4 linked regions of the Arabidopsis thaliana genome follow. The protein of the gene in region 1 interacts with the protein of each later gene in a pairwise test. Each region holds a gene or a part of one and is shown in the gene's direction. Other genes may lie near its edges.

What was found.
Region 2: the proteins of AT3G03210 (region 1) and AUX1 interact in a protein complementation assay, tested with the Arabidopsis thaliana proteins (one large-scale study listed by BioGRID).
Region 3: the proteins of AT3G03210 (region 1) and AT2G42360 interact in a protein complementation assay, tested with the Arabidopsis thaliana proteins (one large-scale study listed by BioGRID).
Region 4: the proteins of AT3G03210 (region 1) and AT2G01970 interact in a protein complementation assay, tested with the Arabidopsis thaliana proteins (one large-scale study listed by BioGRID).

The regions. Positions count from the first base shown.
Region 1 is NC_003074.8:736,995-744,018, forward strand, and holds AT3G03210 (Pmr5/Cas1p GDSL/SGNH-like acyl-esterase family protein), read left to right. Parts: upstream 1-3,709; 5' UTR 3,710-3,992; coding exon 3,993-5,099; 3' UTR 5,100-5,315; downstream 5,316-7,024. Other genes in the region: NAC045 (NAC domain containing protein 45), read right to left, coding at 1-67, 184-465, 559-839, 1,377-1,533; EXPA13 (expansin A13), read right to left, coding at 5,661-5,973, 6,494-6,981. UniProt on the Arabidopsis thaliana protein: Component of the plant cell wall polysaccharide acetylation pathway. Does not directly catalyze O-acetylation of xyloglucan but exhibits weak acetylesterase activity in vitro.
Region 2 is NC_003071.7:15,969,529-15,979,344, forward strand, and holds AUX1 (Transmembrane amino acid transporter family protein), read left to right. Parts: upstream 1-3,347; 5' UTR 3,348-3,736; intron 3,737-3,947; 5' UTR 3,948-3,964; coding exon 3,965-4,141; intron 4,142-4,234; coding exon 4,235-4,420; intron 4,421-4,508; coding exon 4,509-4,621; intron 4,622-4,717; coding exon 4,718-4,901; intron 4,902-5,179; coding exon 5,180-5,277; intron 5,278-5,798; coding exon 5,799-6,006; intron 6,007-6,092; coding exon 6,093-6,350; intron 6,351-6,438; coding exon of another isoform or gene 6,439-6,444; exon of another isoform or gene 6,445-7,030; coding exon 7,031-7,264; 3' UTR 7,265-7,652; downstream 7,653-9,816. Other genes in the region: ATMAK3 (Acyl-CoA N-acyltransferases (NAT) superfamily protein), read right to left, coding at 9,111-9,326. UniProt on the Arabidopsis thaliana protein: Carrier protein involved in proton-driven auxin influx.
Region 3 is NC_003071.7:17,637,464-17,644,075, forward strand, and holds AT2G42360 (RING/U-box superfamily protein), read left to right. Parts: upstream 1-3,334; 5' UTR 3,335-3,443; coding exon 3,444-4,154; 3' UTR 4,155-4,327; downstream 4,328-6,612. Other genes in the region: AT2G42340 (uncharacterized protein), read right to left, coding at 105-159; AT2G42350 (RING/U-box superfamily protein), read left to right, coding at 1,782-2,435; AT2G42370 (uncharacterized protein), read left to right, coding at 5,871-6,612. UniProt on the Arabidopsis thaliana protein: E3 ubiquitin-protein ligase able to catalyze polyubiquitination with ubiquitin-conjugating enzyme E2 UBC8, UBC10, UBC11, UBC28, UBC29, UBC30, UBC35 and UBC36 in vitro.
Region 4 is NC_003071.7:450,059-458,915, reverse strand, and holds AT2G01970 (Endomembrane protein 70 protein family), read left to right. Parts: upstream 1-3,956; 5' UTR 3,957-4,096; coding exon 4,097-4,248; intron 4,249-4,473; coding exon 4,474-4,514; intron 4,515-4,614; coding exon 4,615-5,200; intron 5,201-5,287; coding exon 5,288-5,425; intron 5,426-5,507; coding exon 5,508-5,664; intron 5,665-5,741; coding exon 5,742-6,226; intron 6,227-6,499; coding exon 6,500-6,719; 3' UTR 6,720-7,058; downstream 7,059-8,857. Other genes in the region: SOS1 (sodium proton exchanger, putative (NHX7) (SOS1)), read right to left, coding at 65-109, 211-276, 363-415, 495-612, 702-803, 886-1,043, 1,139-1,216, 1,297-1,388 and 2 more; TET14 (tetraspanin14), read right to left, coding at 7,114-7,398, 8,026-8,523.

The DNA.
Region 1 (7,024 bases):
TCTCTACACGCAACGGTGGTAGATATATATTGTGTTGTAACATTGAACATTCGATCTCTGTGTTAACCTGAATGAAAATATAGAAAACCCATTATTAAAAATATGTTATATGTCGATGGTCATGTATCAAACTTTATAGGGTAATCAATGATGGATTTTAAAACTTTGAAATATTAGCTATACCTTATATGGAGTAGGGAACGGTCTATAAGAAGAACCGTAGTATTGTGACCAATCCTCGTTGCTGATTGCGTTGGAGTTAAATCGCTCGTTGCCAAATCGCGGTTGGAATGTGTTTTGAACTTGATGAGTAGTTGAACTGATTTCGAGATCCGAACAAGTGTCAAAACTCGATGAGCAATTACCACTCACATTCGACATCGCGTGGACATATGACCGATGTTGATCTCTTGGCTTAGCTTCAATAACAATCTTTTTGAACACACGACAAAGTGCATATGCGTCCTACAAATATAAAATTCAATTTAGATGGTTTTTCCTAATGCTATGTACAATATTAAAATGATTGTAGTCGAATCCAGTTAGTTAGCAACGAACCTGCATGCCGTATGCAGAAGGCTCACATTCTGTTTCATCAAGTCGATATTCGTGCATGACCCAACCAGTTCTTATGCCATGTGGCGCGCGCCCACGGTAGTAAACCAATGTCTTCTTGGTTCCTATGGCTCGGTCTCTCCAACTAACTCGGCGGTCTTTACCTGTAGCCTTCCAATAACCGCCTTTAGTTGCCCGGTTTGTCCTTGAGCCGTTGGGATACTTCCGGTCTCGTGGGCTGAAGAAGTACCATTCTTGGTCTTTGCTCGGAAGCAAGGACTTCCCTATTATTGAATTCATAATTGATTACTTTAAGTAACGTAATTTATCAGCAGATATTGGATGACGTAAATTAAAATTATGATTCAATTAAGCTGGCATTCATGTTTTCATGAGTTACAATTTTATATTTAAACATTTTTAAAAATTATTTTGACATTTTAATTCCTAAAAGATTTGGTGAAAATGATGAAAAAAATAATAAAATAGTTATTTACAGAACTAGTATGTGTAATTGCACATGTGGTATTTTCCCGGTAGAGACTAAAGTATATTTAGGGTTTCTTCATCAATGCTATATTCTTATTCTTTTCTTCAATCTCTCTTGTTCCTATGGGTTTTAGACAAATAATAATAATTCTTAACGATTACAGATGTTGTAATTTAAATCCATATAAATGAATAATATATGCAGAATTTGATAACTAAAGTAGAATCGCGTAATTAATGTTGATCAGAAATCATATTTTTCAAAAAATTTAAATCATATTTGATTAAGTGGATCTCATGCATAAACAAGGGAAACGTCAAATTAATATTACCTGGTAAGTCCCATGGCTCACACTTGTAAAGATCAACTTCAGCGATAACTTCAAGTTCGATTTCTAGACCGTTGATCTTTCTTTTTAGATAGTAAGTAATTAGTTCCTCGTCTGTTGGATGGAATCGGAAACCTGGAGGTAACGAGACAGGAGCCATATATATAATCTCAAGTTGTTCTTGAAGTTATTTTGTTTGAATCAATTTCAAAGAAAGAAAGAGAGAGAATCGAGACTCGAGAGGAAGAAGAAGAGATTATAGAATAGGTATATGTTTTGTGTTCGTTGAGGGCTTGGAGAGCAAGGTTATATATAAAGAGGTAATGAAAAAGGGAGATGCAAAAGTGAATAAAGGGAAGGTCCCCATCCCAAAATAACATATAATGTTAAAAAAATTCAAAATTTAATTAATATTTACAATTCATCAATTTCTGTCCGACGCATATATAATATTGTTCGAAGTGTTTTTTTTATATTGATAGATAATTAAAATGCTAACAAATAACATGATCACGTGTAGATTCTGGTACTTAACCGGAATAATTAATCAAAAATTGCCGCCCTAAATGTAAACCGTGTTTCTTCATCAATTATATTATCCCATGCTTCTCCGAGAGTGGTCGGTCTGGAATATATGTGCACTTGTCAGATTTCTATTGGTTGCATGGGAGATCGAATCTTGGGTTAACCCAAAACTGTTGCAATCTCTCTTTCTTTTTTTTCTTTTTTTTTTTTGTTATTTGGCGGCACTTCTAACTGAAATAACTGTCTCTTTTGTACCCACTTGCATGCGAATCCTTTGTTTCCCTTCACATTGCCATCCGATCTACGTACATAGATCTTTTTTAAAAATAGATATCTTGATGTTGTAAATTTATACTAGTAGTGTTTTACATTTTATTTTGTCATTTATATATGTCTATTTCTGTTTCTCATATTCATATTGTATATCGTATATCGAATAGAAAGATGAACTCCATTTTATGGTCGTTCCATCAGTTAATGCTCATATATTTTCTAGTGTATTAGGCTGTTAATGTAAGGTTGTGTGATTCGGGAAAAAAAATTGAAATTTCGGAGATTTTGAAACAAAAATTAAAAAATTGAGTGGCCAGAAATCCTTTCCTCTCCATATTTAGTGTCGTCATATAAAATACCAAAACTTTTGTTCCAATATAGAAAAACTATTGACCGAAAGTCCAATTACGTACTCCAAAGACTTATGGATATAAGAAATTATAGTTTGAGTATTTATCATTTTGGTCGAAACTCGAAAGCTATATATAATCATATGAACATACAGTCACATTTGGTGTAGGCGACTATAAAACTTATCTAAAGTTGATTTATCAAAAAAAAACTTATCTAAAATTTGGAAAAATGAAATCGATCAGATATATATATATATATATATATATATATATAAAATTTGAACAAGCATATGGTTTTGAGATGGTTATATGTATGATCATGTGGGATCCAGCAGTTGTGAACATGTGAATAAATCCTTGGAAGCTATTGATGGGCCAACCCAAGAGAATCACTTCTCAGCCTTTCTCATCATCGTCATAACCTTTTTCTCTCATTATTCCAAATTCCATATTCTCTTTCTTCTTTGTATCACCATATATATACACATATATATATATCTTTAATATATCTACAATGTGTACATAGTACATACCCTTCTTGAGACATTTCCCTCACATGAATCCATCTTTTGGTTCTTTACTTAATTCTTTTTAACGTTCACACACATTCTATAAACTAATAACATATTAGTCCTATGATTAGCCCCACCATTAGATTGGGTCATTGCCTCATTGGCAAAAATATATAAATTTGGTTAGAATGAGAAAGTAATAAATTAAAAGTTAATATGTAAAAATCGGTTGAAACTATTATGAAATTTCGGAGTCTACAAGATCCCCAAGACTTAAGACCGTGAAGAAAAATCACGAAATTACATGTAACTTTAGCTATAAAAAAAGAAGTCTAAATGATTATAATGATTTTTTCTCCATTTATTATATGATGAAAACGCGGATCTACAGAATTTAATGTCATTCCAAGATGAAATCGTACGTATGAAAATACACATAAGGAAAGTGTCATTGATTTGTTGAACGATGTGGGCTAAATGGGCTTTCCCGTGGGCCGAGTAACTTATGATCAATCTACAAGCGGTCACGTGAATAAATGGGCTTGACCGTGGGCCGAGGAACTTATGATTAATCTAAAAGCGGTCACGTGATTCCCAGCGGTGAGCGCACGTTAGAATAGTTCCCAGTTCCATAATGAGGCTAAAGTGAGCCGAACCATGTCTGAGAGTCAGAGAGATGAGATCATAAATTAATGGAGATCTTACAAATATGGAAAATTTTAAATACAAAAAATCGAACCAAAGAAGAAGAAGCCTACGGTTGTTCTGTTCCTTTCAATCTCACCAAATTTTCATCTTCACCTTCAATTTTGATAGATTCTCTTCACCGAACCAAATCCGTAACCCTAGCTTCTTCTTAAATTATAGAGAAAAAGAGTTAATTCGAATCTGGATGAAATTGGTTTTGTCTAGATGGAAATCTAGATGTGTCTGATTCCGAAATCTGAGTCTGAGAGATGCTAGGAGCGATTCATTTGGGAGTATTAGCAGCTTGTTTCGTCCTCTTCGTTCCCATGGCAATGGCTGGTTGGCATCTGAGCAGGAACAAGATGCTCTTCTTTAGTGGCGCTTTGTTTATTTCTCTCGCGGTTTGTGTTCATCTCACGCCTTATTTCCCTTCCGTTTCCGACATCGTTGCCTCTGTTTCCTCTGTTGTTGTCTACGATCATCGTATCTCTTGTATCAACGAGGTTAATCAGATTGTCTGGGATGTTAAACCGGTACCGAATCCGGAGTCTGTTCGTAGGAACAATGGCTCAACAAAGCTTGATTATTTCGTGAAGAACTGGGATTGGATGAAATCGAGGAAAGTTTTGAGTTGTGAGTTTCAGAAATTGGATAAGTTCGATGTTTCGGATTTGTTGAATGGATCGTGGGTTGTTGTTGCTGGTGATTCTCAGGCGAGATTCGTGGCTTTGTCTTTGTTGAATCTTGTTTTGGGTTCGGATTCCAAGGCTATGGATTCGGTTAGAGGGGATTTGTTTAGGAGACATAGTGATTACAGCATTGTGGTTAAGGAGATTGGGATGAAGCTTGATTTTGTTTGGGCTCCTTATGAGAAAGATTTGGATGATCTTGTGGTATCTTATAAGAAGATGAAAAAGTATCCTGATGTTGTGATCATGGGAACTGGGTTATGGCATATGCTTCATGTGAACAATGCTTCAGATTTTGGTTTTAGGTTGAGGCAATTGAGTAGTCATGTGGAGTCTCTAGTGCCCCTTACGCCAAAGGAGCAAGAAGGAGGTGGGTCGGTCTCCGGTAGATCTGTGCATCTGTTCTGGATTGGGATGCCGGTTTTGATCAACGGGATGTTGAATACGGATGAGAAGAAGGAGAAGATGAGTGATACGGTGTGGCATGAGTATGATAGATCACTCGGGGAGAGTAAGATCTTACGTCAAATGGGTGGTCCTCTTATCTTGCTTGATATCCAGTCGTTTACCTGGAACTGTGGACCGCAATGTACACTTGACGGGATGCATTATGACTCTGCGGTCTATGATGCCGCTGTCCATGTCATGCTCAATGCGTTGCTTATTGAATCTCATCAATCTTTATGAGTTCTTGACACGTTTTTTTTTTGTTTTTTTTCCTTTTATTTTGTTTGGGGTTCTCTTGTAGAGTTTTAAGAGAAGTGGGATGTTCATAGGAATTTTACAACACACGGTGATCCTTTTGGCCTGAGTGATCTTCACATTGGAGAAGTAAGTGAACTTACATTCATGGCTATAATAGGTTTAATATCTTTTGACTTTGAGAAGTTATAACCTTTAGCTATTCTGATTCTTGTTATATCACAGTACCCTTTTGGATTCTTTTTACGATAAGACTCAGTACTCATCATTAGCTTTAAGCACTTGAAGGAAGCTTTCGCTCCTTAGTAATGTAAACAAATAGATACAATAGTGATGTTTGTGTGATCACTGTTCTTAGTACATTGGTGAGTTTTTGTACCTATGCGTGGGAGAGAGAGAACTATGAAATGCAAAAGTCTGACCCAAGTTCTTTCCTTTTCAACCCTAAAGATAACCTTAGACCAAGATCGATATACTTGCCATCAAAAAATTCTGACCCGGAAAAAAAGAATCATGGGATTGTATCTCAATGTGTCCGTCTCTGTCTCACGGAGTCTCGAATTGTTTCCCTTCGAAGGTCTGTCCATAATTCCAGTTTTTCGGGGAGACATTGTAAGATGTCACGGTTGACCTGTCACTAGAAGTTACTTCAAATGAGAGAGCTTGGTTCCTGAGATCAGCATTAATATGCCAATTTTGTCCCCAATTACGACCCATAGGTAACCACCCGGTTCTCGACCCTTTGATCTTCACAGCAGCTATATCACCGGACCCTGCAACATTGGTGATCAAAACCGAAATGAAAATGCCTCCACCATCGACTGTAAACCGCATGCTCCCTTCCTTTCTACAGTTGATCCTGTTTTGGTAAAAGCCAACAAAAATGGTTGTAAGTCATAACTCATAACTTAAGTGATATGCAACTAACTATTTATAGGCTCAGCTCCAAAACACTTCACAAACTAATAAAGGATCTAATGATCCATTGTATCATGAACCTAAATAGTAGTTTACCGCATTGTGCCTAGAACTTCACAGAAACAGTCAATTTCAGTCCTCTCATGGCTAAGATGAAAATGAGAGCAAAGCTACTCAACTATGATGAGCAAACCTATCTACCATTTCTCAGAATCTTGTACACACTAAGATAAAACGATTAGGGGCAATAAAGTAAATTGCATATTGAGGAAGAGATTTAGGGTAAACCCATCTCACATAATAAAGCACACGGATATCGAAGAAGACACAAAAGCAAAAGCATCGCCGGATTTTTTAAATCGATAGTGGCGTCTAAAAGCAGAACCGCGTTCCCCACCACCGCAAACGCATTTTTTTAACAAAACGCGAAACAAATTGGGAAAAAGCGGAGAGAAACGCACCTTCGATACTGCACCGGCATGTTCCCAGCTTTCCAAATAGCGATCTTCTCAAACGCTTCGATCGGAAGCACGAAATGTTTGTTAGGTGGATTACAATGACCACCACCGTCGGGATCAAATCCGTAATTAGGAGCACAGAAATTCGTAGCGGTGAGTATAATTGAAGTTCCAGGGATACACCAACGGAGATCATCAACACATCTGAGCTCGAAACAAGCACCACAGATCTGACCACGCTCAAACAGAGTCTCGCTTAGACCAACAGTAGCCATACCGTACCCAGATTTGACGAGATCTCCGTATCCACACGCACCGCCCACCGCGTCTCGAGGATTCGTAGCGGCGTAGTAGGTGGCTCGAGCTGGACGCCATTCTGAGGCGTCGGAAGAAACGGAGGACGAAGAAGGTGAAGAGGTTGAGGAAGAGTAATGACAAATCGCCGGCGGCGATAGTGCAAGGAAGAGTAAAGGTAGAAGAAACCGTTGCATCTCTCCGGCGAGAGAGAAAATGCGAATTTTTGATTTTAGAGAT
Region 2 (9,816 bases), on another chromosome or scaffold:
TAAAAATGTGAATAAAACATGGAAAGGAACAGAGGAAAACTATTATTTGACCCAAAACATATAAAATAAAAATGTAGGAAAAAGGAAATGGACCTACAAGCCGATAGGAGGCTCTCAATGGCAAAAAACGTTCGATAAAAAGGAGAAAAAGGCATCTTTGTAAATGATGAAACGGCGGCGTGTGGGGGCGCAGGTGTTCATAGTGCGCATGTTTCTTTTGCAAAGCTTTAAAGCTTGTGACTTCGTGGCTCGGCTCGGACTTGCTTAGCAACTTTTAAGTCTTTGGGTTCATAGATTCTCGAGTGTTTCCGCTCCCAGCCTACGCCGACACAAGAGCTCTTGGTCTTGGGTTCAGACTTTTTCATTTTTCTATATGTTTTAATTTCGTATTCTTTTTGTTGTTAAAGTTTTATTCTCAAACCAAGAAAACAAGAAATAAAACACACCTGATTATTGATCTAAAAATTATGAATGATGGAGTGTGAAAATCTATAATAATTTTGAGAATTATGGAAAGAAATTTCTGAGAGTGATGAAGCAATATAATTTTTGACTTTTATGCATGCGTGAGAAACATAGATATAATGTAATTAAAAGAATAAATGACAAGAATTGGGATAAAATTTCTCCATCAACATAAATTACAAATTCAATTTTTTATTATAATTTAACTTTAAGTTCATAGTTGGCTTAATTAAAAACACACACAGGTGTTTCAAACATTATATAACCGTTTATCTTTGACCAAAAAATTAATAACCGATTATAACAATTGCCATCTCCTTTAAAAACCGAGTATTAGTTATTAAGTATTAGTATTGATTATTTTTCTAGGTCTAGTAGAAATGCAATTTGGTTTCCAAGTGATGATCAAACTACCGTCAAATCATTTCGAAGTGTTTTTTTTATATCAGAAACTAAGTCGATTTCTGAAAAACGTTGTGATGTATAGCATACGCCTAACTTTTATGCTGAATGTAGATAGCTAGAAACCTAATTGTTTAAAGATGGAGAAAAAAAAACTATAGTGTCCTCCATAAAAAACAGGTCATCTCCGAAGAGTTATTTTCAAAATCGACATTAATGATCAGTTACATATTTTTTAATCATTATTTGAAACAATTATTTTATAATTTTAGCTAAGTATGTGATTAAAACAAATGAAAAAAAAAAACTCTAAAATGGAGGGATGAACATATTTGGGGAAGTGATAGACAATGATATTTCATATTTAACCATTCGTTATTGAATTTAGGAGTTGATAATTGAATGCCTATGAAAAATATGTTCCTATTGTTAGAGGTGGGTTGGAGTCTTGAAGACAGAAGACGCTCTAATATACAACTGAAGTTTGAGTTGCTTGTAAATTCAAGTTTTGTATAATTTATTTTCATTAACTGCAAACTAAAATTTATATAATATTGCGTGAAACAGAAGCAAAAGCAAGCAACTCGTTGGGTAAAATCTGCAGTTTCTGCACCAAATTAAAGAAGACCTGCAACATTGCCGCCTTTACATAAATACACACACTAGATACATAGGCTCTATGTATCTTATAGTATACGATATTTGTTTAGAATATTCTGCAAGTTGATTAAATTTCATGGATCAGTAGACTTGTTTATATTCTAAAGTTTCAAGAAATAGTCAATTTGTCTACGTATAATTAAACCGTTTCTTAGCTGGAAGTTTACGATAACGTATCCAACATTTAAGTATTGTCGAGCCATATAATTAGAGAAAATGACTAGTGAGAACACTGAGAGGTTTAGCAGCTGAGCAAGCAAGTTACTTACAAAACTTGGAAACAAAGGTTGTCACACTAATATTCACACTACGTGAGAATTCGTACAGTGCACATCAATATAATATTTTTAAAACAGCAAAGTGAAAAATGAACATGATACTATATATATCCAATTTATTAACAAAATTTTATAACTTATAGTATCAAAAATAGTAAGACTCATATTAGACCAATATATATTAATGCCTACCTACCTTTGACCTTAGGAGAAAGTATGAATAATTAACATGTATCCAGGAATGGCATTGTAGAAAATACTATTTTACATTACTATTTCATCTAAGGATTGAGATTTCATATGAATTCAATGATTTATATTTACTGCCAATATTTTTTTATCTTACTAATTTAAACGAAAGAGATATTTTAACTTGAAATAATTAGAAAATAGGTTATAGATCATTCAAACATAAAATTATTAAACTGTTCAACTATTTCTAAATGATTTATGTTAGCCGTCAGATAATTAACATGGAAAATTCTAGTTTCATCATGATAATACTCCAACTATATGTGTTAATATGCGTATAAGAGAGAGTATGGCGTAGTATCCAATCATTTCTTAGTATCATGTAGTATTTGGTATATGCCGTATAGTAGTACCCAATTATTTCTTTGATGGGCAAATGCTAATGACTAATGAGTATTTTGCAAACTCATGATCACTGAAAACATGAGCCTTCGGTCGACGATCAGGTGTCTTAAATTTGTCTGCTCTTTAATTTTTGTAGGATAAAAAATTGAAAAATTTGAACTTTAGACCATAGAATAGATTATTCCAGCTAGTAATCTAGAATAAGAATGATGTGAAAAACTTGTATTTAGTGGTTGATCATATAACCAAACCAAAGGATGATTACGTTTTCCTTAAACTCTAAAAACATGCAGATTATTGATCTGTCCATCCTAGTTTTAGGTACGGTATTAAATTTAGATAGCTGTTGAAAAAAAACAAAAGTGAAGATATCTAAATCTAGATATGTTGGAGCAAATCCAGTAGTGGATTCTAAGCAAAGTTTCTAACCTATAATAATAATAATAAAATAATAAATAATATTATTTAATTAAGATAGTTTATAAGGAAATGTGAGAGAGTTTCTAATTCAAGAGATTTTGAAGACTCTTCTAACTATTTTTAGAAACTTTTCAAATTAAATAATATTATTTCTTATTTTATTATTATTTTAGTAGATTAGAAACTATGGTTAGAAACCACCATTGAGTATGCTCTTAATTTATATCCTATAACAAGTCAATAAATCGTCAAACATTAATACGTTGCATTATTTGTTTGTCATCATATCTTAAATATTTCGAATTAAATGATACGTTTTCGTCACACAACTAATGCTTTTTAGTAGATGAAATATAGTAAAATACGATTTTATGTATTTTGAACCCATGTGGCGTTATGTTTTAATTTATTATTGGATAGTAGAAGAAGCCGGAAATTCTGGATGTCAAATAGTCACATTAATATTCAATGCGAAAACGTAAAAAAAAGTAAGATGCTACCGTTACCTAAACAAAAGTTAATGGTGTGATTTTACAGCACCTGTTTAATATTTTTAAAATTACATAAAAAAACCAAAGAGAAGTAAGAAAAAATGAAAAAGAGAGATTGGTATATAAAAAGGAGGAGTAGGGGGTGAAGCCCGAAGCATCTTATAGTATTTTTAGCTTCATTCCTTCTTTTGCTCTGATCAAAGTCTTCTCCTTCCCTTCTCTCTCTCTTTCCTCCTCTGCACATTTCTGGGTTCTTCTCTTCTTATGCTCTGTTTCTTTTAAGACACAGAAGAAACAGTACAGAGTTGAGATTTTCTTAAACAAAAGTGAAAAGAGAAGAAACAAGTGACAGCTCAAACGGACAAAAACCACTCTTGGGTCTTTCTTGCTTCTGATTCTTTCTCTTCTCTAATAGAAGAAAACGTAAGTCACTCTCTCTACTCTCTTTTTTCACACTGAAGAAGAGAAAAAACGTGAACAAAGAACTGTCAATTCTCTTTCCCTCTCTGTTTTATCTTCTTGAATTCTCCAAGATTGAGATCTCTCTCAGTCTCTTATGTGCTCTGTTTTCTCCTCTCTGTTTTCACTTAGTTACTAAACACAATCGATTCTTTCGCTCTGTTTTATTTCTCAGATCTAGAAGCTAAAAAAATGTCGGAAGGAGTAGAAGCGATAGTAGCAAATGACAACGGAACAGATCAGGTAAACGGAAACCGTACCGGGAAAGATAACGAAGAACACGACGGCTCCACCGGTTCTAACCTAAGCAATTTCCTATGGCACGGTGGCTCTGTCTGGGACGCTTGGTTCAGCTGCGCATCTAACCAAGTAAACCAATAAAACCATAAACTAAAGATTCAAAATTTCGGATTTCTCATAGTGAAGAAAGATCTGATTTGTAGTAATTATCGTTGGTTTCAGGTGGCTCAAGTGTTATTGACATTACCGTACTCGTTTAGTCAACTAGGAATGTTATCAGGAATAGTACTTCAGATCTTCTATGGTTTACTAGGAAGCTGGACTGCTTATCTCATCTCTGTTCTCTACGTCGAATACAGAGCTCGTAAAGAAAAAGAAGGCAAAAGCTTCAAAAACCACGTCATTCAGGTCCCCTCTTTAAACCCTCTCTCTCTAATCAGAATCACTAAATCATAATTATCTTTCACTAATCTAACACTTTTAAAAATCTCAACAGTGGTTTGAAGTACTTGATGGATTACTTGGTTCATACTGGAAAGCACTAGGACTCGCATTTAATTGCACTTTCCTCTTGTTTGGATCTGTTATCCAACTCATTGCTTGTGCCAGGTCTGTTATCTTTTAATCATTCTCTTTATCTTTTTAATCACTCTTTAATGATTAAGAATGGAGGATAATTGAAATATGATTGGTGTTTACTTGCAGTAACATTTATTACATAAACGATCATCTGGACAAGAGAACATGGACTTACATATTTGGCGCGTGTTGTGCAACCACTGTCTTTATACCGTCGTTTCACAATTACCGAATTTGGTCATTCCTTGGCCTTGGAATGACCACTTACACCGCTTGGTACTTAGCCATTGCCTCCATCATCCACGGCCAGGTAATGTTTTAATATATTTCACCAAAAATATATTTCATCACATTATAAAGATCACTACACTGTCGTTTTCATATTTATATGCTTTGCATTGAGGTGACAGTATATGCCTTAATTAAAAAGAAGAATAAAAAAAATTCGTATTTTCTCTTTAAGATCAGGGATTATTCTTTGCATCTTAACCCAAATTTGTATTAAAAAGTGTATGTATAATATAACTTAGACAAAATTAGCTGTTTAATATTCTCCTAATCAAATTTTTTTTTTGTTGTTTATTTTAGGCGGAAGGTGTGAAACATTCAGGTCCAACAAAGCTAGTGCTTTATTTTACGGGAGCCACAAATATTTTGTACACCTTTGGAGGTCACGCGGTTACTGTGTAAGTTACTCTTCTTTTGATTTCTTAATGATTATTAATTTTGTATCTAATAAAAGATCAATAAATTTTGTCAGACATAGTTGAATTACTATTTAAGTTAAAGCTAAATGGCAGAAAAAGTATATGGTAAATTAAAATGGTGCCATATTATTAAATTATGGGTGCTGCTGTATCGTTTCTTCGCCGCTTCTATTGCAGCTTTTGCCGGCAAATAAGGTGTAACTATTATTACAGTCATCATGATTGTCATTATTATTTTTAGCAATCCTTAAAATAGTAGTACTAATAAAATAAGCTCTTTTTAAATATAAAATAGAATAACCATTATTATTCCTATCCCTATAAAGAATAACAAACACTATTGCTACCAAAGCACTACTACTACTAGTAGGAATAGTACGCTTTTGCGAAATGTCAAATACACCCTTTTTATGCGTCAATGATTGTTGTGAATCCAATCTTTTACATAGTTAAAGTTTTGGATGAAATTATGAATATTAACAGTAATTTCTAATTTGCAGTGAGATTATGCATGCTATGTGGAAACCACAGAAGTTTAAGTACATTTACTTGATGGCGACGTTATACGTGTTCACGCTAACGATTCCGTCAGCTGCCGCCGTTTACTGGGCTTTCGGAGACGCACTTCTCGACCACTCCAACGCTTTCTCTCTTATGCCCAAGAACGCGTGGCGTGACGCCGCTGTTATCCTCATGCTCATTCATCAGGTATACACATACAACATTTTTGTTCTTTCTTTTTTAAGTAAATTTTGATCATGAGAGATTAATGCAACGTGTTCTTGTTCGTGCAGTTTATAACGTTCGGGTTCGCTTGTACACCTTTGTACTTTGTGTGGGAGAAAGTGATTGGGATGCATGACACAAAGAGCATTTGCTTAAGGGCTTTGGCTAGATTGCCTGTGGTCATACCTATTTGGTTCTTAGCTATTATCTTCCCCTTTTTCGGTCCAATCAATTCCGCTGTCGGTGCTCTTCTTGTTAGCTTCACCGTCTATATCATCCCATCTCTCGCTCACATGCTCACTTACCGATCTGCCTCCGCTCGTCAGGTATAACATCTTTACTAGCTCACTCTCTTTTAGCGTTTCAAAACTCGAACTTAACCTAAAATACATTGAGTTACCAATAATTTTTTAGAAATGAAATGAAGAGTCGGTGGAGGAATATTATAGTTGGGGGGTAGGGTTGTGAAATTGGAGGGCAAAAACGTCTTTTGTGGAAGATAGATGGGGTTCAGTGTTCCGTATCTTACGGAAGATAGGATCATCACCCACATTCCTTACTGGCGTCCCCTCCAAATAATATATTATTGAGTTGGTTTCAGCCATTTCTTTATTTGGTTACATTTAGAAGAAAAAATACAATATCCGGTTAGGTTAGTATTAGTAATTGACCATGACTTCTTTTTCTTTCTCTCTTTCAAAACAGTGTATATTAAATTTACGTAAGATAAAAGTAGAGGAAAATAGGGGAGAGGAATAGGTAAGAGTCATAATCAGAAATGAAAAGGAGCTGTACAATAGGGACTCTATGCCTAACATTAATCTAAAGTGAGAGTCTGAGTATGACAAATCACAATCATATCTCTCTCTCTCTCTCTCTATCTCATGGGTCAACAAAGCTTTGGATTTTGTCCATTACTATACGACCAAAACTCTAAAACACTTACACACTCTCTATTTCTTTAATGGTTCTCTGATTATTTTTGTGTTTTGGATCTTTCTTGTAGAATGCGGCGGAGAAGCCACCGTTCTTTATGCCGAGCTGGACGGCGATGTACGTGTTGAATGCTTTCGTGGTGGTTTGGGTTCTTATAGTCGGATTTGGGTTCGGTGGATGGGCTAGTGTAACCAACTTTGTTCGTCAAGTCGACACTTTTGGTCTCTTTGCCAAGTGTTACCAATGTAAACCAGCTGCAGCCGCCGCACATGCCCCGGTCTCCGCTTTACACCACCGTCTTTGAGAGATCGAGTCAGGGTTCTTCTAATGCGTTTGTGGAGGGTTCTTAAAATTATTTGTTCTTCTTTTGTGTTTTGTGTTCGTATACGTGAAGGGAGTAAAAGTCACGAAAATAGTGTACTTTTTACACACCCCTTTAAATGCGTGCTAAGCTCTTAATTATTTTTTTCTCTTTTGGGGTTTTGTATTTTTGTTTTCACTCCTTAGTTTTTTTTTTAAAATTGAATAGTCGATAATATGTAGTGTGTGATTTCTTAATTTGGTATTGTTAAAACAATAGGCTAAGAAAATGTATCGTCTTCTCTCCTTTTACTTGTCTTTAGTAACAAAAAACAATTCTTATCTTATACATTTATCCTAATTAGACTTATATAAACTATTTTACCATGAACAATATCTTCCGATACTAGATAATTCTTTAGGATCCTATTAGATCTTTTAATTATACAGTTTTGATCATAGCACAGCGACAATACTACTAAGTTTACATTAAAATTTTGAAATAACACTTTAATTTATTTGGAAAATTTGATTTAACGGCAGGGTGTGTTTAAAAATTAAATAGGGGAACATGGACAAGTTGGACCGACGGAGCCGGTCATATATCCTATGGGCCACATGGGTGTGGGGAGAGGACGCACGTGGATACTTCGTCCGAGTCACGTGCCATTATTTACTTGACACTCTTCATCTTCTCTCTGATCAAAAGAATGGATCAGAGGACCGTTCCTGTCCCTCATATTAAATATGGCATGTGTTCGTTCCATTCGTACTCAATCGTTTACCCCTTATCATATGCTCTGCTTTCACATGTACTTTGCCCCCAAAGATTATAACTATATATGTAAAATTATTAACTAATATTCTCGTTTGAATCCAGAGTCCGATTCTTGTACTTTCCATCTGACTTTTTTTTTGTTGGGGGTCAAAATAAAAAAGAACTTTGCAAAAATGTTTCTTCTAATAGCATAAAATCGTTAAAGAGAAAAGAAGAAGTGAATGTGAGTCATATTATGCGATATGGAGTAGGACCCTTGGTAACGTTTGGTTAGTGACCCTTGGTAACGAGTGGGTTCAAATTGTCAATAAACTATTATGTGGCGAGTGGTGAATCGTCTTTAATTTGTTCTGATTTAGGCCATGTGAGTTTTGCAACTACATTTGAGGCTTTTCTTCTTCTTTATATTAGACTTTTTTTTTTTTGTAAAGTGGACTATCTGGATACAAAAAAAATCTCGGCTAACATGGATAAATCTAAGATGGTTGTGTTTGTGAAAAGAAAATTGTTTTATAGTAAAATACGGTATGCAATAAAAGTATTTCATAAAATATCTCATACCAATTATTCAAGCATGTCTTTTCATAACATTTGACTGGCATCTTTCTCTCCTTTGGCCTTAAATCAATTTTTTGTCATCTTGGATTTCTTTTGAGGTATATAGAGCTGTTTGAAAATTTTGATGGCTGAAAATCACTTCACATCTCGATTTCTATATCATCCACTTAACTCGAAGTCAGGAGTAGCCTGAGACGATTAGGTTAAGTTAAGTGGTTATATGAATTTGTAACAACATTTAGATCTTTGTTTCCAATCATCAACCAAGTTTGAGAGACCTTAAAAACGTATATACGCACACCACAAAGTGATATGAATATGCTAAATTGTTTCTGTAGACACACAAGACCGTTGAAACGTCCAGATTAATCGCTTACTCCAGTCGAGAATACTTCATAAACATGGGACTAGAATTGTACCAACACATAATATTTCTTCATACGAAAGAGAACATAGTCTTAGCATGTTCAGGATTTAGAATACATTGAAGAAACACACATCTTCGTTCATGGCCTTAAGGTACACGAGGCCTAGGAAAGGTCTCATACTCTTGTTGGGTTTGAACTTGAGAAGGTATTTGAGGTACACGAGGCTTAGGGAACAAGAGCTTCAGGCGAAAAGCATCCATCCCATTCAAGTAATAGTGGTATAGCCGTTTGGCTCTTATAAACCCGAGTCGCCCATATAGTGCTAATGCTCCTTTGTTACTCACTTCTGCCTCCAGAGTTACCTTCAGCCATACATCTTTACATTAATTAGATTGCATAACCAGACAACCATACTCTCATGTTGTAATCAGGCTTGATTATGAGGAACTTGAAGAGCAAATGCCAATCACGAGGTTCTTTTTCCAATCTATTTACTACTGAGATTACAGTTAAGAGATCACACATACAACAGAAAATGATTCGTCGAATACGCAATTAGTAAGTGGGAGACAGGGATTTCTTATTTTATATTACTATCAGTTACATTCCAATGCGTGTGACTATAAAGAGTCATGGACTACATACAAGACTTATACAACATATGTATACTAAGTGAGAGACTGGGATTTTGATTTCCACTACAAAATTAGTAACTAAACGAATATCGAAAAGTTCCAACTCTTAGGAGTATGATTAACTACTTTTATACGTGGAACTAAACTTACACACACAGTTAGCTAAACAATCAAAAGCAATAGGTATACTTGCAATGATTAAAGGCAGCTACATCAC
Region 3 (6,612 bases), on another chromosome or scaffold:
CGGATTTACAGAAATGACTAGCATAAACGAAACGCAGAAAAACTCTTAGATCCAAAACGCGAAACTCATAACTGATTCGTTGGTTGAGAATCTAGATCGATTACCTGGAATTTGATTCCGAGAAACTGAGAAACAGAGAACGAACGGCGTTTTCTCCATCTTCTGTAACTGAGAGACCTTGGGATGCGAAGAAAAAAACGATCGGAGAAGAGAATGAGCAACGGATTTCTTCAAGCTACTCTGCGTTTGCCGCTATCATCTGTTTTCGAATTCCCTCCCTCTCTACGCCACAAAATATATGGGCCTTGCTTTGGTGTCCCTTTTAGCCCATTTTAATTCACATCAACCCAATTAGCAACCCCACAATTAATTTCGGTTTTCTTTTTTTTTTATAGATTTATTTAATTCTATTATATTTCTTCTCAAACCATTTTAGTTCTACTATCCTTATTCTTGATTATTATAAAACCAACAACCAAACACACTTTTAACATTATATATACTTATCAAAACTAATATTTTCGATTCTCAAATATTTTTAGTTTATATTTATATGCATTGAAAATTTCAATTCGAAAGATATTACTTTCTAATCTACTAAAAATTAAAGTAATTATTTATATGACAGAATCTTTATAAAAATCTAACAAAAAAAATGAGTTTTGACATCCCAAAATAAATGATAACATATTATATTTTCTTATTAATCATTTTATTATAATTGGGATCCAACAAACATCAACATTTTATTCTTTGAATTACAATGTTTATTATAATTATCTTCAGAAAATGGTAAGAAACTTATAATATATATATATATATATATAAGTATATTTATTAAACTAAGTTGTTTATACATATATATACCTTATAAGATACTCAAAACCTATAAAAAAATTTACCCACAAAAAAAAAACATAAAAAGGATAATCAAACTACACCTGATTACGGGAAGGTTTTTGGTTTCATAGTTCTTTTTATGTACATAAAAAAAATGAGACCCAAATCCAGTGAGATATGAAAAGTACAAATATCTTAAATGAGAAAAAGTCATTATTTCATTGTTAATTATAATTTTAAAAAGATAAAATATAATATGTTTTGAAGATATATCATCAAAATACAATGACTTTTTTCCTACAAGTATATACAAGGAAACAAAAGAGCTAACGTGTGGAAAAAAAAAAACAATTAAAAAGAGAGTTGAATTTTTAATATATTCACACAACTTGTAATAGATTAGCATGTTTGTCTACTTCGAATACTCTTCTTCAAGTCAAACCATATGATTCTCACACGCAGCCTCGCTCCATACCTCACGTTATAACTTTAAAATTTCGTATTTTCTTGACTATGCTCCATTTACATTAAGTCCTGTCATATTATTGGGAGAAATTGTATCATCATATATCTAGAATTCTCATATACACTGTCGACATGTTATGTATTACGGTATAAAGAATATTGCAATCCTATATTATTATTTTTTGAATTTCCAAAGTTTAATTTAAAATTAAGAAAATGATAACAAATCCGAGTAAAGTCAACAATTTCCTTCGAAAATTTATGAGTATTCTGCTGCCTATTTTCTCACACCCACCAATCATATTGTATGTCCCTTGAATCCAAGTAATAGCTATGAAGAATAAACAAAAGTAGAAAAAATAATAAAAAACAATTTAATTACACAACATGAGATCCATTCAATCTATTAGTAACTTGTTATTAGATTATAGTAACCACTTTCTGTCTCTTGTTCTACCAAAACAAAACGCTTCATCATGAGCTCTAACAACAAAACTGATGATTCCGACGACCGTTCTTTCTGGCAAAACTCGACTTCTTACGATGCCAGCAGCAAGATTTTCCTCGTCACCACCGTTTCCTTCTCTATTATTATCATCATCGTGTTCGTTTATTATCTCTACGCAAAATTCGTTCTCCACCGTAGATCAGCCTTCCAAGACCTCTCCTTCTCTGTCGTTTCTCAGCCGCCAAAACGTGGCCTCGATTCTCTAGTCATCGCTTCTCTCCCAACGTTCGTGGTTGGAATCAAGAATGACGTGGCGGGTACGGAATGTGCGGTTTGTCTAAGCTTATTGGAGGAGAAAGATAATGCAAGGATGTTACCGAACTGCAAACACGTGTTCCACGTGTCTTGCGTTGACACGTGGCTCACCACGCAGTCCACTTGTCCCGTTTGTCGAACTGAAGCCGAGCCAAGTCATCCAAGGCTTGAGCCTGAGCCTAGGGAAGGGCCAGTTGGCGACTTTGCACCGCCGTTAGATTTCGCGGGGGTTGATAACAAAACCGGCGGATCATCGGTTTCGAGGTTAGACTCGTTCCGGAGGATTTTGACAAGGGAAAGATCTTCGAACAGGCGGGATCATTCTCGCGTTGACCAAGATCGTGAATTGGATATTGAAAGACAGTGAATTCAGTATATAGTATATACACACATACGCCGGTTAAAAAAAAAAAAGTATAAACACACATGCATCCATAATTAATCCTTAATTCATGAACCATAATACTTCTTCTTCCTTTTAACTTTTTATTCTTGTACTGAAATCTTTTGTATGTGTAAATATGAATGGCACACTTTTTGTATGTTACAGTAATTACAAAAACATTGTTGCTTATTGCTTAACGTGTGAAAAGGGGAAAAGAAAAAAAGAAAGTTGAACTTGTAACATACAATCGAGACAATTTTGTTATTAAGGTATATCTAATGCGTGTGTGCCCTACATAGACGACTCTTCTTCAAGTCAAACTTTGTGGTTCCCACACGTATCCTCACAGGCTCACACGTTTTAACCTTTAATTTTCGTATTTTCTTGACTATATATATTATCATTTTTTGTTGACAAAATAAATTGTATTATCATATTTTAAAATTTTGATAGCAGTATCATATGTAACTCTAACATTCTATGTTTAGAGATGAATTTATCTATATATATCTACTTGGATAAACCAATTTGCACCATACTATTTGCAGCATATGAGACTAACTAACTCTTGATACACTGAAATGATGGTAGACAATTCAGTCTATATATGCGAGTTAACTCCTAATACCGTGAAATCATAATAGGCAAATTCAGTCCACAAATTTTTTACGTAGGATTTTGATATTTTCCACTCTTTATATATACAGTCTATAATCTTCAAACCTATCACCTATAAATAATCTACAATCTACCATTTAGTCAACAATGGTGAAATTTCTAAACCCTCGTGAAAGTCTACCTATCTCCCAAAGTTTCTAATTCTATCTACTTCACATTTTTCTCCACCCACCAACTAAAGTATAAGCCTTGGAAAAACAATCAAAATAAGAAATTCTATAAGTCCTTTATTCCTTATATAATAAATCATAAGTTAGTAAACTCTTTTGTTCACTTTTCTTTTGCATCCACCGAAGAAAAACCAGCTTCACAATGAGCTCCAACGACAGAGATCATCGCAGGTTCAACTCTGACCACCACTCATTCTGGCCTAATCCGTCTACTTACGATCTTAACAGCAAGATCATGCTTGCCGCAGTGGCTTCTTTATCTGGAGTTATCCTCATCGTCTTCGCTCTTCATCTTTACGCAAGATTCGTTCTCCGACGCCGTAGAGAAGCTTTCCGTGGCCTCCCCGTCATTTTCCGCCACCCTTTTGAGATGCCTAAGCGTGGCCTCAATCCCACAGTCATCGCTTCTCTCCCTACTTTCACTGTTGGAGCCACTGATGGCGTGGCTGCCTCCGCTACTGAATGCGCAGTGTGTCTAAGCGTGTTAAAGGAGCAAGACAAGGCGAGAGAGTTGCCCAACTGCAAGCACATCTTCCACGTCGACTGTGTTGACACGTGGCTCACCACTTGCTCCACTTGTCCTGTTTGTCGGACTGAAGTTGAGCCAAGACCGAGACTTGAGCCTGAGCCAAGGGAAGGACCAGTCGGTACTGCACCGCAGTTGTTGGTGGAAACCAGGCTGAACTTGACTGTAGAAGCCGCATCCTCTTCTTCCTCAGATAACAAAACAGTTGTATCCCCGGCTTCGCGATTAAATTCGTTTAGGAAAATCTTGACGAGGGAAAGATCTTCGAACAGGATCAACCATTCTTGTCCTGACCAAGATCGTGTGGCAGATCTTGAGAGACATTGAGTCGACATATAGATACATATTATGCATATAAATCATATACACATATCGATAATCTTTAATTTATACAATATCCTCCTTTCTTTTTTACTATATCATGCTCTGTTTTTGGTTTTAGATAGTTTTGTGTAACGGAACACTAAATATATGTTAGTCAAAAGATACATCTGGTGCAGTTCATGCCATTCAAGTTAACTATTCACAGTGGTAGACAGTACATATCAGGGCTCCATAAAAGATGCAGAACCATTTTAGTTACATAAAACTGAGGGAGAAGAGAGATCATAAAAGGGTTACCTTCAATCACCAATCGGAAGCTAAACCTGTTGGATAATCAGTGTCATTGTCACAATGTGGCCTAAAATGACGAAGGGTGACAACCAGCTGCTAAACATCCGCCTTGCTCGGCTCAATCTGAGAATTCTGGTGCAGTTGCTCCCTGCATTGAAGTGGCATCTGCGATACTTCCATTGCTCACTCCCTTACTGCACACCAGATTTCAACAGCATGAGTGTAACTATTACTATACTCAATGAAACGAAGCCTCATGGAGAATGAGAACATTTTCAAAAAAATTGCTTTAATAGTTTTTGAAACTTCTTCTATGTTCTGCAGTAACTGCATCATATTGATAATATGAACAATATAATCACCAAGATCAAAATCAATTGTCGAGGAGAAGTGAAGTAACTTCATCCTTCTAAGCCAGAAGCTAATGAAAAAAACAAAAAAAAGATTTCATTTCACTCAAAAGTTCAAAACCCATCAAACTAGAAATCATTTTCTAAAAGAACCTATGATGGATCAAAATTGCTCCAAACAGACTATAAATGAGACACACACACAAACGCTAATTGGCAATACAAATGTGGATTACTTAATTACCTTGAAGGAAACTTGCATGTTCCTTGACCTGAAAACGAAAAATTGCAGAAAAAGCATCAAACTTTCAACATTTTCAATTAGCAAAAGTCATAACTATCTGCTAGACATTGATCCTGAAAGAAAATGTGAACTTACTAGGATTGAGAGAAGTAACAGCTGCGTTGTTACTAAAGTTGCAAGCTTCATCTGCGAGACCATTCCATCAGATAATAGTTATTGAATACATACGAAGCCATCTTCACTATATCCAATGGATCGTAGCAGGATCCACCTTGCTGAATCTAGACGCAATCAGCTCCTCTGGGACCACAAGCCCAGTCAATGGCCGTTTAAAGTGTTGAATCCTCAACGTTGTTCTTCGCCACGCACCAAAGCTCCGTCTCTAATACCTCCCCACCAAACTCCGCAGTAGCAGCAACCGTAATGAGGAGAAATAGAGAGATTCATTAGGAAGCAGTGAGGCTGAGAGAGAGAATACACGATCATTTTCCGAGAGATTGATCGATTTTGTACTCGGAGATTTCGAAGAGGAGGAAGAGTGTGAATTTGAAAGAGTCGAATAGATGTTGGAGTTTGTTGTGATTAATGTAAAGATTTGGGTGAATAATGTAAAATATTTTAATTCTTACCGGTTATTGAACTCGGTTATACTGATTTGGGCCGTATTAAACTCCGGCCCATATACATATGGGCCTCTAATGAAGTGTTTTTAGCTGCTCTGTTTTTGATGACGGAGCATATTAATTATGGTTAATTAGTAAACAAAAAGACTCTTTAGCTCCTTAACCTTTTCAATTTCTGAAAGAGGAGGAGATCGGAAAACAAAACCCAGTCATGGATCCTCCGGCGAATCCTTTTGCATCTCGAGAGCAAGATACAGTAACTATTTTAAGAAACCTGATTAAGCAAGCTACTTTGGAGGAAGAAGTCTCTGAAGCTTCAGAGACACATTCTGTTCCGAACAAAATCAGAATTTTAGAGTCAGTGTCGGACGAAATGAGGAAATCGCAGGAGAACGGTAGTGATCAGAAACAGTTGAGTGAGGAAGACGAGATTGATATTCTGGATTCAAAAGCCATGAGCTTTTCTTTTAGTTGTCACGGTGGTGGGCCAAAGCGGAAGAAATGTAACGATAAGAAACGTAAGCAGCAAGAAGAGAAGTCTAAGAAGAAGCTCAAGGTACTTGTTGAAACATTAAAGCTTGTACCTTTCAAGCCATTAAAAACCCTAGATTTTGCTTGTTATGAGAGTCTCTTAAAGACTCTCGGATTGTGGGATTTTGTGCATTTGGAATTTGATCAGGATATGGATTATGATCTTGTGGCTCAACTTATAGCTTCCTATAGTGCTGGAGGTAAGTGCAGCTATATAAACGGGTCTAGGATTAAACTTAGTCGTGCGGATTTGGCTCGATCTTTGAAGTTGCCTAATAAGAAAGAACGTGTTGTCATTCTTGATGAGGATAAGGAATTTCTGGAATCAGATGAATCAATCAGTGTTGTTGAAGATGTTATCTCTAATTGGATGCTACTGCATTGTGATGATGCGTGGATGATGCCAGATGAAGTGGTGGAAT
Region 4 (8,857 bases), on another chromosome or scaffold:
ATGAGCTTCTATTTTAGGGTTGGCAAGCACAAGCATGATATGAGTCTATAAAATTTACCCTTACCTGAGGATAAATATCAAAGTGTTTGCAATATATGCAACCATTTCCCTGCACAAGTTACCGGGAAAATTTATATCACACAGATCAACCTTTTACATAGAGTTACAATATAAAAAAACAAGTCCAAATTCCACAAGTTCTGGAAATACCAGAAGTGATGCAAGCTTTTTTGACTGTCACCTTTAAAGGCTGTCCTTGCAAATGCAGCATAAAACCTGTTACAGTTATTTTATGAGAAGAGACTTCTTAAATGATAACAAAAGAAAGGGAAAAAAAAAATAACGAGATCACTGAAATTTACATGCCCAAAGTCATGACCGTCAAAACACCAGAAGCCCCAGCCCACTCTTGAGCCTGTCACACAATAAACTCTCAGTTTTACTACAAAGAGAATATCTTAGCACAGGAATTCAAGGTCTACAGAAAGACGTACAGTGTAGTATGCGAAATAGCTCACTGCAATTGTAAGAGTAATCTCTATTACAGTGTCATTGAATATGAACTTGAGCCAAATAACTGATGCAATGCCAAACGCCAGACCAATGCCTACACTAAATAGACAGAAGAACACGTTGGACTGATAAGAACACAGCAGCAACTTGATATCACTAACAACAGATGAAAAAAGATCAAGACATACGCTCCAAGTGCGACTTTAAGCAGAAATTTGATTATAGAACTCCAGTCAGAGTTTTGCCCCATAGCCATCTTTAAGAATAACTGGAAAACAACAATCGCCGTCCTGGAATTGTTGTTAAAAATCATGAAGAGTGAGCATAAATGTCAAAACTAACCAAACCATGACAGAAGATAACGTCATTTACCCATCATTCATCAGGGATTCCCCTTCAATTATGGTGCTTAGCTTCTTACTAGCACCAAGCTCCTTTAGCAAAGCAACAACAGCAACCGGATCAGTAGCACTTAAAAGTCCCCCAAGCAACAAGGACGTTTTCCAGTCCCATTCATACGGAAACGTGACCTGCATATAGCAAGTATAGTTTCATAACATAATAATCGATTTGTCTTTCTTTGTTTTCAGGACAGCTACTTAATACCAACCAGGCTAATTCATACCTTCACAAGCGATCCAAGACAAGCTGTTGAAATAAGAACTCCAGGGACAGCAAGTAACACCATTTGTCCCAGACACCTCTAAAGAATCATGCAAGTATTCAGTACCTATTTCTCTTAACCTTTAAGCTTAACTAGGAATTAGAGCCAGAGGAATAAACCTTAATTTGGTGAACTTCCATTGAAAACGAACTCTCGAAAAGAAGAGCCGGAAGAAAAACAGCTAAAAGAAGTTCTGGATCGATCTCATTCCCTGCACAATAACATTGATTCTATAGTTCTTACAAAGCCAGCCATGGAAGAGAAGAAAAATTCGAAACTAAAAACTTACAGATACGAATTCCATGGCCGATCTTTCCAAGGTTATGTTTAGCTCCATATTCTGAAACACCAAACAACATGAATTAGCAATTAAGCATGATTACGTTGACTTCAAGGATTAAAACAGATGAAGAAATCAGAAATTCCATGGAACGAAATCGAACCGAGAGATCCAAGAGCAATTCCGATAACGAGAAGAGCGACAGTGTAAGGAACCCTAGTTCCACGAAGCAAGTGCCTAGAAGCAATACCGAGTACCAGAGACATTCCGACGAAGAGAACGGCGTCGACAGGGCTAGATTCTAGTTTGGAAGAAGAAGAAGAAGAAGACGAATCGGTCGCTTCCTCCAGAAATCTATACGCCATCGTCGCGTCGATTACAGTCGTCATTTTATTTGAATATATCTAAGAAGCAACAACACAGAGGAAGAAGAAGAATGCTCGTTCACTGAAAAAATAAATAGCTGAAAGAGAGTAAATACTTATAGAGCTATACATACACACGTGTATAGTACTGTAGTGTTAAATTAAAATTAAATTTTACTATTAATTTTGTTTATGATAACATTATCATATTTTTCTGCTATATATTTTTCACAATTTTCAGCCGACCAATTCTTCAATGTTTATATTTTTTCTGACCAAGAGTATATTAGAACCAGAATTAGATAAATTAATGGAAATATAATGATGACAAAAAAATAATATAAATATAATATATAGTTTGTTTTGGATTTTATAGATTGATGTCATATAGATGTGAATGTGACTATGGTATCTTCACAATGAAATTAGTGCTTAATTTGTGTACAAGAATTTATTGAAATTGAGTTTATTTGTAATAAGTATTCCAAAACCTGGTTTGGCCTTAAAAGGAAAAGAAATATTCGTAGTTGGTTTTTTGACATTTTGGGACATATTTTTCTTATGATTTAATTGATAAGACCTCTTACTGTTGTACTTTTTTGAATAAACAATTGCAAATGTAAATTGGCTATTTTAGAATTAGACGACTAGCCTACCAAAAATACATTTATAATGTGGATTTTGATATGTGTGTGAGTGTGTTTACTTCGTGGAGTTTGATGTGTTTAAGGTTTCGAAAATATTTGAGAATTTGGATTAGCCTGACTCTATTCGGCTGATCCAAAACATTAATCTGATACCTTTCAATTCTTCACGTTAAATTTATAATATTTTTTAAACTTTCAATTATGCTTAGCTGATGCACAACAACATTTTCAATTTCGCATATCAGAATAACACCAATTATCATTTTCATGCTACCCAGAAGCACCTACAAGGTATCAAGTGTGCATGTTAAAAGACTGTTTGGGTTAGTATTGATTAATCGACCAACCGTCGATCCTAATGAAATGCTCAAAGATAGAATCCAACATAAAGAATCTCTATTGGTATTCAAGATTTGCTTATAGAGTAGTGATTGTTAGTTAGTTAGTTTGTTATTCTTTGATTTTCCAATCAGCTTACGAAGATTTTTCAAGAGTAGAGATGCTAACAACATGCATAATAATTTGTCTAATGGTAAATTCTACAATAGGAAAAGAGTTTACATTGATTACTCTATCATTAGTAGTTCAGGGGATAGTAGATGTTTGTTTTGTTCTAAGGCTTATGTTTATGCTCTGGAAAACTGGTTCCAGGCGAGAAGATTCAGAGAGAACTCGTTGATGGATTACATATCATGGTCGCTGATGAGTGTATGATTCGCCACCACCATCAAAGAAGGTGCAAAATCAATAAGTATCAGAGCTGTTACAAAAATAAACTTTATAAATAAATAAAATTATTGTCTGTGTAATTAACATCTTAATTTTATAGTGTTCTTATTTATCTGGTTTGGTTGCAAAAAATTGAGTTTAGTTAAGATAATCAGGTATATAAATTACTACATCATTCATTTTATGTACAAAAAATTTGGTTTATATTCCAATTGATAATACTTTTTACTTGCTTTGCTTTAATCAATTTCATAAACGAGATACTATTGTGAAAAAAAAAAACGAGGCACTATTGATCTTTTTTCTTTTGACCACCTTTTTATTTGTATCTTCATCATCATGATTTTGTTAAAGAGTAAAAAGAACATTACTGATTGTTATAGTCACATGGAATGCAATAAAACTCCTATAAATAGTAGAAAGCACAAGAACGAGAGAATCACTCTACCAATAGAAAATTGCTACTTATTAAAAAAAAAACGACAATTGTAACAAAAAATATCGATTATAGAAAGTTTTATTTGCTTCAGTTTATATCACTTGCCTCTGCCATTCACAAGTTTCTTACGAAACGTATTAAATAATTTAAAATTTTGTGAATTAATACGAATTTTGTTTAGAAGATTTAAGAAAACAACCAAAAATAAAATATATAAAAATAATCATTTCAATTTCTAAAAAAAATATTAAAATGTCGCAGATTTTATTTTCTTACATAATGCTTTTTATTCGCAATATTTTTTCTTAAGCATTTAGTAGAAGAAAATTCGTTAAAAAGAGAGATAAAATAAATAAAAGTAATATAATCGTCCTTTTGCCATAAGCGTTGCTCTCAAAAATATAAAGCAAACTCAGATCTCACGATTTTCTTCTTCCTCTCACATTAACACACATCATCATGAGATTACCAACGACGCTGCTCCTCTTTATCGGAGCTCTCATCTTCTCCGGCGCCGGTACTGTCAGATCCGATGCCTCCGACCACCGTTACAAGGACGGTGACTCCGTTCCTCTCTACGCCAACAAGGTCGGCCCCTTTCACAATCCCAGGTAAATCCAATTCTCTAATCTCAGTTCCTTTGTCGGTAGCTTAGATCTGTGATTCTCTTTGATGAGTGATAAATTGATCGTTGCAAATTTCTGTAGAAGCTTGCGTTGGTATTGAATTTTTGTATCTGACCTTGAAAAAATTCGATTCGTGTTCTTAAAATGTGATAGATCTTCGATTGCATTGTTATATGACTGATTTTTACTTGTGTTTGATGATTGTTGCAGTGAGACGTATCGCTATTTCGATCTCCCCTTTTGTATTCCAGGTACGAGCACGCTCAATGTTGTCTCTGTTATGTGTGGTTTTTCACTTTTTTCGGATTTGTGTATTTTGGTGTCAATATGCATTTGTTTTGGTTTGTGTAGAGGGTGTGAAAGATAAGAAGGAAGCTCTTGGTGAGGTTTTGAATGGGGATAGGCTTGTTAGTGCTCCATACAAGCTTAACTTTAGAGATGAGAAAGACTCAGAGGTGTACTGTAAAAAGAAGCTTAGTAGAGAAGAAGTTGAACACTTTCGAAGAGCTGTTGAAAAAGATTATTACTTTCAGATGTATTATGATGATTTGCCTATTTGGGGATTCATTGGGAAGGTGGACAAAGAGAGCAAATCTGATCCTAGCGAGTTTAAATATTTTCTCTACAAACACATCCAGTTTGAGATTTTGTACAATAAGGATCGGGTGATTGAAATCAATGCTAGAATGGATCCTCATTCGCTTGTGGATCTTACTGAGGATAAGGAAGTCGATGCTGAGTTTATGTACACTGTGAAGTGGAAGGAAACTGAGACTTCTTTTGAGAAAAGAATGGATAAGTATGCTATGTCTTCTTCTCTTCCACATCACTTGGAAATCCACTGGTTCTCCATTATTAACTCCTGCGTCACTGTCCTTCTTTTGACTGGTTTCCTTGCAACCATCCTGATGCGGGTCCTCAAGAATGATTTCATGAAGTAAGTTTTGAATGCTAACTCTTTGTGCTTGACTCACCGATGCACACTTTTGTTTCCAACCATTAACTTTTCCCCTAACTTTCAAAGGTATGCTCAAGATGAGGAAGCTGCTGATGATCAAGAGGAAACCGGATGGAAATACATTCATGGAGATGTCTTCCGGTTCCCAAAGAACAAATCTCTCTTTGCTGCATCTCTTGGTAGCGGTACCCAGTTGTTCACTCTGTAAGTCTCTTTTCAGCCTCCTTCGTTTATCTTTAGTTATTCTTTGCCATTACTAACTGTAATATACCTCATATGTCATCAGGACCATCTTCATTTTCATGCTTTCACTTGTTGGAGTGTTCTATCCATACAACCGTGGAGCACTCTTCACTGCTTTGGTCGTTATCTATGCTCTCACATCTGGAATTGCCGGATACACTGCCTCCTCTTTCTACTGTCAACTCGAAGGAAAGAATTGGGTATGTAAACCCTTTCCCTTTACTCTTTTCAACTTAAAGTGATAAGCTTTTCATTTCTCACCGTTCTTCCTCTTCAGGTGAGAAATTTGCTGCTAACTGGAGGTCTCTTCTGTGGCCCACTATTTCTCACCTTCTGCTTCCTAAACACCGTTGCAATCGCATACAGTGCAACTGCCGCTCTTCCCTTTGGAACCATCATAGTGATCGTCCTCATATGGACACTAGTCACTTCGCCTTTACTTGTGTTGGGTGGTATTGCCGGTAAAAACAGCAAAGCTGAGTTCCAAGCTCCAGTCCGCACCACTAAGTATCCTCGGGAGATCCCGCCACTCCCATGGTACAGGAGTGCTGTACCGCAGATGGCCATGGCTGGATTTCTTCCTTTCAGTGCCATCTACATCGAGCTATATTACATCTTTGCCAGTGTTTGGGGCCATCGTATCTATACCATTTACAGCATCCTCTTCATCGTCTTCATCATCCTGTTGATCGTCACTGCTTTTATAACAGTTGCCCTTACTTACTTCCAACTCGCTGCTGAAGATCATGAATGGTGGTGGAGGTAAATTTTTCCACCCAAGCTGGTTTTTTAATTCGGTTTTTGGTATATGGAATATAGAAAACCAAATGATAATACCAAATACAAATAGCTTAGAATTGCTATGGTTTGTGTTTCGTTTTAGTATCAGTTTCAAACTGATTACTTACGTAGGGTTTCAGTTTGGCTTGATTAGGCACATCTACTAAATCCTTCCGTAGATTTTAAATTCGAATTTGAATTGGATTGGTGATAATAAAATTACATTGTTATAGTTATTAATATTCTTTGTTGCAGATCATTCCTATGTGGTGGATCGACTGGTCTGTTTATATATGCGTACTGCTTATACTACTACTACGCAAGATCAGACATGTCTGGTTTCATGCAAACATCCTTCTTCTTCGGGTACATGGCTTGCATTTGTTACGGTTTCTTCCTCATGCTTGGAACCGTTGGCTTCCGCGCTGCTCTCCTCTTCGTCCGCCACATTTACCGGTCGATTAAATGCGAGTAAAACTGTTGCTGCCAATCACCCTCCCCCTTACGATTTTTGGTAGAACAAAGAAGATGATAATCTGTTCTTAGGTAGATAAAGAAGAAGACTTCTTCGAAGCCAGAAACTGAATACCAAATCGCTCTGTGGTCACATTTTTTTTCCTTTTTGTTAAAATGTTTTGTGGCAGTTTGTTTTCTGTGATATGATTTATAGACGAAACTATGTTTGTTTAGGTGAAGTCTTTCTCTTCTCTACTACTTTAGAGAGTTATCTTCTTTTTTTGGTAATTAATTAAGATAACTTTGTAACCTTTTTTTTATTGATCTATATATATTCTAAAGACGAAAAAATAACAACTCTCTTGAACCAAATCGCTAATCTATTCGATCAAAATCATCTATGAATTTGTGATCTATCTAAACAAAGAGGTGAGGGAAGATAAGAAAACACCGAACTGCCACCATTTGCGCAGCCTTGGAGACTTAATGATCCTAACCTGACAAGTCATACAATCATAGTACAACACACTTAACTCGTGTCTCCACATATCGTAATAATCCTTTATGTCTGCATTGCCACCGTAACGATCATAGATCATTGCCGTTTCCAAAGGTGGTCCTTCACGATTTCTTGTAACCCACAATGTTGCATTGACCGTCTCTAGTTTGCAATTCCCTGGCCGATTGCAGCATCCAGTCTAACACAACAAACAACAAGAACAAAAGATTATGACTTTTTTAAAAATATATCAAGAAAAGATTTTCTCTTTCGTCATATCTTATTAGGATTTAGTGGTATTAAATCTTGCATATCACGGCTTCAAATATTTAAAACAAATTAATATATGTACTTTAAATAAACTAATTTTTCAAAATCTTAATTGGATAAATAAAAAGATTTTTTTGGAACAAAAACCAACAATACTTTTAAAAACTACTACGGGTGTATTCAAATTAGAATTTAAAGTGATTTGAATTTTGTTGAGTTTTTAAATGATTTTGATAATTTTAGGGAAGTCTATATAATTTTTGTAAAATCCATTCAAATCTCACCTTAAACCATATGATTTGGATTTCTATATTTTTAACTAAAGAAATCCTCTCGAATCCTCCAAAATTATTAAAATTCAAATCCACAAATTGTTTACAATAACAACGATATAAAAATCAAACTAAAATACTAAAAAAAAAAATAGGCATATCTAAATAAAATCTAAATCCCAACCAAAATTGTAACAAGTTGATACCTATATTAGATTTGATATATATCTAAGTAATAAATAATAATTATTCTAAAAAAAAAAGAGTAATTGATTCGTAAGTACCTTAACAGATGGTAACAATCTTCTATCATACGGTGGCAAGGCATAGCTGTTGACAAACCGCAAGTGAACTCTTTGCAAGCGTCCTTGACTTTGTTCTATCTTAACCACTTGATATTGTTCTGTTTTACGTTCTCCTTGTCCATTATTATATTCTCCCTTGAAACACATTGGTGTCGGAGAAAACCGCCGGCTTTCCATCTTGTACACACCGGAGTAAGCAAAACCTATGAAGAAGACAATAACTAGGAAGTAGCTGAGCCGTCGTGGTCGGAGAAACATACCGATGTTGCTAAGGAGGAACAAGGCGAGGAGAGAGACGCTGACGAGTGTTTGTACACGTGGTAACGTACTTTGGAAGTCGCGGTAGTAAACGTGGTCGTTACGCATGCAGAAGAGATACAAGGCGTGGCCGACAAGAGGAGCCGAGAGGAAGAAAGTGATGATCGGAAAGAAGATTCCGGCGACTAGATTCCATGGCTTATGGCTTTGTGACTTCATTATTGGAGAGCTTCAAGGACAGATTTGATTTTCGTATGATCAAATCTCCTATACGAGTATTTATCCCCACAAAAATATCCTTTTGTAGGAGTTACTTACGCAATCAAGTGTTGACATGTGGCAAATTCACCTCAAAACTAGGCATGGGCTAACAAACCGAACCGAATGTACCTAACCGAATCCGAAACAAAATTAACCGAACCGAACCGAAAAGTGAAAAATAACCGAATGGATACTAAATTTATAACCGAAAGAACCGAAACCGAATGGATAATAACCGAAATATTTCGGGTAACCGAAAATATCCGAAATATAAATATATTTTCAAAATATT